Linked DNA regions of Mus musculus. The main gene of each other region encodes a partner of the protein of the gene in region 2 in a complex. Links are inferred from orthologs where the notes say so. Each region holds a gene or a part of one and is shown on either strand. Other genes may lie near its edges.

What was found.
Region 1: the proteins of Nfs1 (region 2) and Fdx2 are in contact, whole or in part, in a cryo-EM structure (PDB 8RMC), measured with the Homo sapiens proteins. The link is inferred for Mus musculus from reciprocal best matches to the Homo sapiens genes NFS1 and FDX2. Residues at the interface, in NP_066923.3 of Homo sapiens: Gln153, Lys157, Leu160, Asp161, Arg164, Ala168, Tyr175, Ala384, Ser385, Leu386, Glu387, Pro388, Tyr390, Arg393, Gln456, His457; in NP_001384335.1 of Homo sapiens: Ala104, Cys105, Glu106, Ala110, Cys111, Pro141, Leu142, Ile169, Thr170, Arg171, Asn172, Phe173, Tyr174, Val175, Asp176, His178, Lys181.

The regions. Positions count from the first base shown.
Region 1 is NC_000075.6:21,070,633-21,075,007, forward strand, and holds the start of Fdx2 (ferredoxin-2, mitochondrial precursor), read right to left. Parts: upstream 2,900-4,375; 5' UTR 2,875-2,899; coding exon 2,757-2,874; exon of another isoform or gene 2,687-2,756; coding exon 2,632-2,686; exon of another isoform or gene 2,550-2,631; coding exon 2,443-2,549; intron 1-2,442. UniProt on the Homo sapiens protein: Electron donor, of the core iron-sulfur cluster (ISC) assembly complex, that acts to reduce the persulfide into sulfide during [2Fe-2S] clusters assembly on the scaffolding protein ISCU.
Region 2 is NC_000068.7:156,141,219-156,145,661, forward strand, and holds the start of Nfs1 (cysteine desulfurase, mitochondrial), read right to left. Parts: upstream 2,969-4,443; 5' UTR 2,923-2,968; coding exon 2,802-2,922; intron 2,241-2,801; coding exon 2,149-2,240; intron 1,025-2,148; coding exon 908-1,024; intron 1-907. Other genes in the region: Romo1 (reactive oxygen species modulator 1), read left to right, coding at 3,241-3,371, 4,384-4,443.

The DNA.
Region 1 (4,375 bases), on a different chromosome or scaffold from region 2:
ATAGTCACCTTTTTATCCTGGGGCTGGCTGTTGGTCGACCCTCCTCTCTACCAAGCATTAATTATTTTCATTCCCACAACAAGCCATTGAAAGTGATGCTAAATCTACCATTTTATAAAGAAGAAACAAAAGGCTCAGAGAAACCGGCTTGGAGTTTACAAAGCTGGTGAGGCGCGAGAGACATGAATTGTTTGCTTCCGAACTGTTATAAATTCTGTTCTGCACAGTGCCTGCCGGACTCGGGAACAGAATCAGCCATACACACACATACATACACACACACACACACACACACACACACACACACACCGCCCCCCAACCTCTCTAGTGCTTTTTACTGGTTGGGGTTTGTTTTGAGAAAGAGACTCACTGTGTATGCTGTCCTGGAACTTGCTATGTAGACACCAGGCTGGCCTCAAAGTCACAGACAGCCTCTCCTCCCAAGTGCTGCACCACTAACCCAGCACCGACCCTTCCAACTGTCTGCCAATGACAACCTGTCTTTACTCTTGGGCTTAGAGTTCCTGTTAGGCTCAGAACGGCATGCTATGACAAAAGACTGTCACTTTGGTATACACAGTACATAGTATTCACACAAAGACTCTTGTCATTTGGGGGAGGTGGCAGGTTTTTTTCATAACTTGTCATAATTTTTGAGACAGGGACTCTTGCTAAGTTACCCAGGCTGGGTATGAATATAAACAGGGTCTTGTTATTAGTCGATGGTTGCCCTGAAATGTTCTGACTGGGTTAAGGGGTCACTGCAAGCCCAGTGACCTGAGTTCAATCCCTAGGAAAACAATATGGAAGGGGTGAACCAGCTCCCTCAGGCCATCCTCTGACCTCTACGGCGAGGCATAAGCATGCACACACACATGCACGTGCACACACACATGTACACGCACACGTGCATGCATGCACACACACACACACACACACACACACACACACACACACACACACATACACGCTAAATAAATACAATACAGAAAACACTCAAGGGTGATACTCAAGGGAGGCATGAGAGGACGAAATGCCCCATGTCTGAATCATGTTTTGCCATGTGACTCTTGCTTCTGGACCCTGCCTACCATAATATGGTGTACAGCTCCCTGCTCTGCAAGGTGGAACTACTGCCCCCTTTACTCCTAAAGCTGTCCCAAGGAATTAGCACTCAACATACACTGATCTCAGACCTGCTTACATGGAGGGCCTTGGGAGGCCAAGGTGTGAAAGAGGCTGTGGGAGAAATGTCAGAAAGCAAATGAAAGCCAGGCTCTATGAGGCCACTAAATACAGACAGACATGGGCACGGGAGGCTTAAGCTGGGTGAAAGGATGCCAGGCTGTCAAGTCTGAAGAATGAGGAGCCAAGTCATCTGCTGGGAAATCACCTCTCACATTATAAGCACAGAGGTGCTAGGACAGGACTGAGCTGTGATGCCTGAAAAACAGCAAGAGAGTGGTGAGGGACAGCACTGTGCATCTGTGATCCCGCTTCAGTTCCACCTCTCCCCAAAAGGTAGTCAGCGGCAGCACTAGAGAATGGGGGGTCAACATGGAGAATCCACAATTTCCAAGAGAGCACAGATTCTAGCAGCTCAGTAAGGGCTGCTCCAAAACCTAGTTTTATTTTAGTGTTAATTTAAAGAAAGATTTTTAAGTGTTTCCATGTGTCTCTGTGTGGGTTGTGCATGTGAGTAGGTGCCATGGAGGTGAGGTAGTGTGCCCGGCACTACTGGTACAGAAGGCTGTGAATTGCCTGGCACAGAGCTGGTGGTAGGAAGAGAACACAGGTCTTCTCACAAGCCGTCTGCAGTCTTCAGCACTGGCGACCTTTCCAGTTTCATTATTGCCATCTTACTGGCGTTAGCGCAAAGGTGGTAAAACAGTAGAGACAACCTGTATTCTCAGAACTGAGAAAGCTAAGGCAGTATGATCAGCCAGCAGGTTTAAGGGTAAGTCAGAGACTCTGTCTTAACCATTTTGGCACTAAAGAGGTGGAGGCAGGGGCATCACTATTGTGAGTTTGAGCCTAGCCTGGTTATATAGCTGATTTCAGAACAGCCTGAATAACATGGACTCCATCTCAGTTCTTCCCATCCCACCTATTTGGTGATATGGTAGGCAGCACATGCCTGTAGTCTCAGGACTCAGGAAGTGGAGGCAGTAGGTTCACTGCAATGAGTTGGAGGCTAGCCGGGATTACATACTTAAGTTCCTGGACAGCCTGATTCACAGAGTGAGATCGGACCCACCCATACACCACCTAAACAAAAGTATTGGATTGTGGTAGTGCACACCAGGTCCCAGGAGGGTCAGCAGTTCAAAGTCATCCTCTGATACATAGTAAGTTCGAGGCGAGCCTGAGCTATAGGAAACCTCTCAAAATTACAAAAAGGTATAAGAATGCCAAGGATCTCCCTAGTTTCATATGACCTACCTTCCAGGTCCACCCCGTGGCGCTGGGCCAGGTATAGAACATTGTCCCCGACTTTGCCCCTCACCGGGATCCGCTTGCCAGAGCGGTCCACGAACACCACGTTGACCCTGGGGACAAACAGGGTGCAGGTGCTGAGCCGGAGGCAGGGAGTGGCAGGGAGGGGCAGGGCGTGGCACGAGGGGCACTCACACGTCCCGGGGCAGCTCCGGGCTGTCCGCCGCCTCCTCGCCAGCACGCCGCTCGCCTGGAAACACACGAGTGGGTGAGCGGCTGCGGCCTCGCTGCACGCCGCGGCTCGGCCCAGCCCTATGTACCTGTAGTCCCGAACGTCCTAGATGTTACCGCCGCGTGCCCGGCCCTGGGTCCCCAAGATCCCCCGGCCGCCCGTAACAGGACCCGGGCGCTCACGCCCCGGGCCATGGAGGCGGCCATGATAGGCCACGTGACCGGAAGACCTAGCATGCTCTGCGCGTCCTCAGCGACAGTAAACGCAGCGTTTGGGCGCCGTGTGAGGTCAAAGGTGATGCACTGGGATCTAGCTGGACTTCCGGCCTCGCCCTGTGGTTGGATATTTCTTCCCTTAGGTCGTACTGTATGTGTTCTGCTTATATGTACGTATGTGCACCAAGTGGGTGCCTATGGAGCCCAGAAGAGTTGATGGGTAGTGTGGGGCTGGGAACTAAAACTACGTTCGGCAATTGGGACCAACCTCTGAGTTCTCTAATTTTTAGACAGGATCCCCTAGTCTGGCCTTGATCTCCGAATTCCTTTGCTGGAATTACCGGTTATGTGCAACCAGTATTTAAATTTTGTTTGAGACAGAATCTCTATAGACTGAGAAATTCTTAAGTCTCTAAGCAATTCATATAGACCAGGCTGGCCTCCAAGCCCAACTTAAATTTTTAGGGATTGTGTGTATGAGCCCATCCGTGACATGTGTGTAGGTCAGTGGTCAATCTGCGGGAGTCAGTTCTCTCCTTCCACCATTTGGGGCAGAGGGATAAAACTCAGGCTGTCTGTGTTACCAGAATTCTGAGCTAGTTTGCTGGCCCATGGTTTATATCAAGAACCAGCCAGCTCTGATTTTTTTTTTAAAACCGTTTACTTACAAACTTTAATTCAGCAAAGGTCTATGCAGGGGGTGGGGGTGGGGTGAGGGGGTGAGATACACCCACTGGAGTGGGTTTGGGTTATCATGTTTGGGGAGGGAGGCTGGTGGTGGCTCAGCTGGCTAAGGGCAGAGCCCCTAGGTCCCCCTCACATGGACAGAGAGGAGGCCTGCTCCAGTGATCCAGCCTGGGGATGGTAATGACCTGGGTTTGAAAGAACATGGTAGAGGCCCAGTGGCCTGGGTACAATGGTCACCTTTCACAGACAGCAGGGGAGACTGTTGAAGCCAGCAGAAAATACTGGTCTCTGCATCCAGGCTTTGGGCAAAAGGGGTGGTTTGCCAAGATCAAGGCTTTAGCCTTCTGTCCACAGGGCAGACACCTGGAGAAAGGATGAACCCTAGGCCAGAGCTCTTTGGTCCTGAGCGGAGCTTTTGGAGCTCCGCATCTGTGAGGCTCTGACCCAGCAGGACCTGTGGCCCAACTTTAAGGCATCAGAAGGCAAGGATACTGGGGCAGGGGCTGGAGATCTTGGGGCTTAGGGTACTGGCCAGAATAGGCAGGCAGGGGCATGAGACAGCTATACCTGCAGCAGATGACTGGGAAGAGAATAGGGTTAAGCTGTTGGAACCTGCACATGTGGAATAGAGCCTGGGCAGGCCAGACCCTGAAGGAATCAATTTGGGGCTTTTCTGGACGGATGGGGGAGTAGATGTGATAATCATCCTGGTTGTTTTAAAAAATAATAAAAATTAGAAAAGGAAATAAAAGTCAATTGTCGAAGTTTAAAAACGGGGACTGTCTCTGATCCTCACAGGTCAGAG
Region 2 (4,443 bases):
GTTTTCTCTTATTTATTTATTTATTTATTTATTTATTTATTTATTTATTTATTTATTTACTAAGACAGGGTTTCTCTGTGTGGCCTTGGCTGTCCTGGAACTCACTCTGTAGACCAGGCTGGCCTCAAACTCAGAAATCCGCCTGCCTCTGCCTCCCAGGTGCTGGGATTAAAGGCATGCGCTACCATCACCTGGCTCTTTTTTAAAAAGATTTATTTATTTATTTTAAATATGTGAGTACACTGTTGCTCTCTTCAGACACACCAGAATTGGGCATTGGACCCCATTACAGACAGTTGTGAGCCACCATGTTGTTGCTGAGAACTGAACTCAGGACCTCTGGAAGAGAAGTCAGTGCTCTTAACGGCTGAGCCAACTCTCCAGCTCGTGGTGTGTGTGGTTTCCTATTCCTGGATGTGAGATAGGTTCTGGGCCGTGTACACAGGTGTAACCAGCCAAGAACATAAAGTGGTGTAGACAAAACTACACATACCACGGAGATTTAAGGGATCAAATTCAAGTCATTGTGTTAAGGTACCCATGGACATGTCCCATTGACCCGCGAAATGCATTTTTAAAAATGTATTTATTGAACTCTTTCCACATGTGTTTTGAGTTATGCACAAGTGTTAACCTTACGAGCACTGCCTCATTTAATTTCCCCAATAATCTTATACAGCATGAACTATTTCACTTTCCACTTGGTAGATGAGGAGTTCAAGGCTTAGAGAAATGAGCGGATTTGTCAGAGGTCACCTAGGGAAGCTGGGAACTAATTAAACACTTAGTGTCAAATTCCAGAGCTACTACCTGAGTCTCTTCTAGAAAAACAGCTATTTCCATCTGTAAGAAAGAAATAGGTCACATAGACCACTGACTGGAACTCCTCACAGTCCTTCGTGCTAACCTGGCGAGCACGTTCCATGGCTGCCTCGCTCTCCCAGCCATATGCATGAGTCCGAGAATGAGGGTTCCCATAGTAGTTGACAAGGTATGGGAGCATGGCATCAAGCACTCTGGGATCCTGAACAGAAGAAAACAGAGCCCAAAGTCAATTCAGAACCTGCTCGAGCCACCATTACCTGCCAACCTTGCTCAGTGCATTTCCAACCTTTCAGATACTCTCTGCTTTCTTCCACTTCTCAGACACTAATCAAATAGCAACCTGATATATGCCCACTTCAAACTGCAATGTTCTGCAATTCCCACAAGTCTTTCTTTAATTTTTTCATTTACTTATTGAAAGATAAGGTCTTATGTAGTTGAATCTGACCTCATATTTATAAGCCTGCCAGGTTGCCCACTTCAAACTGCAATGTTCTGCAATTCCCACAAGTCTTTCTTTAATTTTTTCATTTACTTATTGAAAGATAAGGTCTTATGTAGTTGAATCTGACCTCATATTTATAAGCCTGCCAGGTGTGCTGATACACACTTTTCTTTTCTTTTTTCTTTTTGGGTTTTTTGAGACAGGGTTTCTCTGTATAGCCCTGGCTGTCCTGGAACTCACTTTGTAGACCAGGCTGGCCTTGAACTCGGAAATCTGCCAGCCTCTGCCCCCGCCCCCCATGCTGGGATTAAAGGCATGTGCCACCAATGCCTGGCACATTTAACAAACAAACAAACAAACAAACAAAAGTTTGAGGGGGCTGGAGAGATGGCTCAGCAGTTAAAGAGCACTGACTGCTCTCCCAGAGGTCCCGAGTTCAATTCCCAGCAACCACATGGTGGCTCACAACCATCTGTAATGGAATCTGATGCCCTCTTCTGGAGTGTCTGAGCATAGCTACAGTGTCCTTGTGTATATATAAAATTAAAAACAAAACAAAATAACAACATAGGTTTGAAACTCCCTATGTGGCTTAGGCTGGTCTTAAGCTCACTCAAACTACCCATGCCACACTGTCCAGCTCCAACACCCGAGCAATTACTATTAGTTATAATGCCTGTACTGGAAGGATCTGACAGGGTCAGTAGCTAAAAAACAGTAAAGCCTTTTCTACTAAACTAACATCTTAGCCTCCTGATTCCTGGCAGCTCCTTTTCCTAGCACATTTAATAGTTCTCAAGTCGGATGAATTTTAGCCTGTCGGTGAAATTTGTCCTTCTAACCTTTCCTCCCTACAAAGAACCTCTGTTAGTCCTTACCAGAGGAGTGGTGGCCTGTACGTCCATGTAGAGAGGTCGCAGCACTGCCTCTGCCTCTGAGTGAACAGGCGAATGGGGGCCATGATCTACAACTAACAACAGATAGCAGTGGCAAAGTGAGAAACCGTGGACGAAGGGCACACAAAACAACAGATGGTCAAAGCTTCTTTGAGGTGAATTTAAGGAAGGCGGAGGTCCAGTGTCAAAGTAAACAAACAACAACACGCGCTGAAAGACATCGAGTTAAGTAATAGACACAGGGTTCTTGGAAAGGGCGCGGGCAGCAGCAGTCGGGGGCAATGTTTAAACTACATAGCACCGAGTGGGACGAGCTGTAAAAAGCAAAGCCATTTAGAAGAAAAGTGAAAAGCGCAGGTTCCTTCAAAGGTTCACGGCAGGAGGAAGCTCATCTAGCATCTTTAAGACTTGGTCAGGAGAGAACTGAAGGATGAGAATTCCGCTCAAGGGAAGTGCGGAGCAGTATGTAAGGGCCCTCCCGAAAACAAATAGGAGACCGGGCGACGGGAAGGTTTAAGAGACTGGGCGATGGAACAAGGCGGGTAGGATCCGCAATAATGCAGTGCTTAGCAGCACCGACCCAAGGGGGTTCGCTCCTCCAGAAACCGTGGGAACGAAAAGGAAAGGGAACGTACCGCGCAGGCGCAGTCCCCGGGTGGGCACCGAGGACCTTCCCAGGGCCAAGGAGGTAGCCGCCAACGACGCCCGCCTCCAAGCGGCTCGCAGCAGCATGTTCCCAGCCACAGAGCCCACCATCCGCGGCGCTTGCAAGTCCTCAGCCCATGCTCCCGGAAGTAACTGCGCTGTGCTCCGGAAGCGATCCCACGGACCGCGAGCGCCCTCCGCCTAGCATTCGGAGTGAGACGTCGAGCTGAGCGATCGCAGCGGAGAACGAGGTGAGGTGGGGCCCGACAGTGGCCTGCGTCGCGCGTGCGGGGTCCTCCATCGCGAGGGTGGTGGAGGCGTGCCGCGGGCTGGCTTCTGACCCGGGTGCTATGTGACCCTGCTGTGCGTCCCCTGGCCGACGCCACGGCTGGTGACCAGGCCCTCACTGTCCTAGCACTCTCGCCGCAGATGCCGGTGGCCGTGGGTCCCTACGGGCAGTCCCAGCCCAGCTGCTTCGACCGCGTGAAGATGGGCTTCGTCATGGGTTGCGCAGTGGGTATGGCGGCCGGGGCGCTGTTCGGCACCTTCTCCTGTCTCAGGTGAGCCTCGCGGACAGAACTTCCTGCCTTCCGAGGGCTCCAGAGCCCACTCAGACGAGGTTGAAAGCACAGGATTTACGGATCTGAGTTCTAAAGTCAAAATGGCTTTCTGACTCCTTTGTTAGTTCAGTGTTATTGAGTTTAGTGGAGTACTGGACACTTACCTCCACTTTTGTAAGAGCCAATCATATTAGTATGATTTACATTATCTGGCACGTCGTAATTACTTAGCGAAGGGTTATTATTGTTGCATGGCGTTTTAACTCCCAACTGCATGTAATGAAGCAAGCCTGATGAGAATTAGGTGTAGTGAAATATTCTACCTCTGAGATAAACTGCTATCACATTTGGATACTGTGCTTATAAATTACTATTTACCCAGCACTAGTTTAATTGTAGTGCTAAGTACTGTAGTTAACCACCGAGCATTAGCTGTGAGCACCTTAAATCCACCAGCACTCTGGACGGAGTGGCAGATTCCTGAGTTCGATACTAGCCTGGTATATAAATGTGAGTTCCAGACAGCCAGGGCTGTTACACAGAGAAACCGTCTCAAAATAAATAATAATAATAATAAATAATAAATTAAAAAGTGTAGTTACCGAGTCTGTAATGTCCATTTTACACTTTATGCAGTTTATAAATTGCAGCGCTTGACTCAATCTAGGTTAAACAAAACAAAACACTAAGGAATTATCTAGAAGAAAACTGGCTACTCAATGATAAAATACCATAGAGGCACAAACACGACTGCTTTCTTGCCCATGTACTTCATTATCTCTGCATCTACAAACTAATGCAGCATTCAGCACAGGTCCTAGAGACCCTAGATAGATATTTTCCTTGTCATTGCTAATCCTATGTGGGGAAGAGTAGCATTTTAAGAATGACAAATGAGATTGTCAAGCTGTTAGTGCTTAATATATTCAACAGATTTTAAAGGGGGGTACTTAGTTCAAATCTCTATTCCTGTAATTGTATTCCCAAATTGCTTTCTTGGTTTCCTCCTCAGGATCGGAATGCGGGGTCGGGAGCTAATGGGCGGCATTGGGAAAACCATGATGCAGAGTGG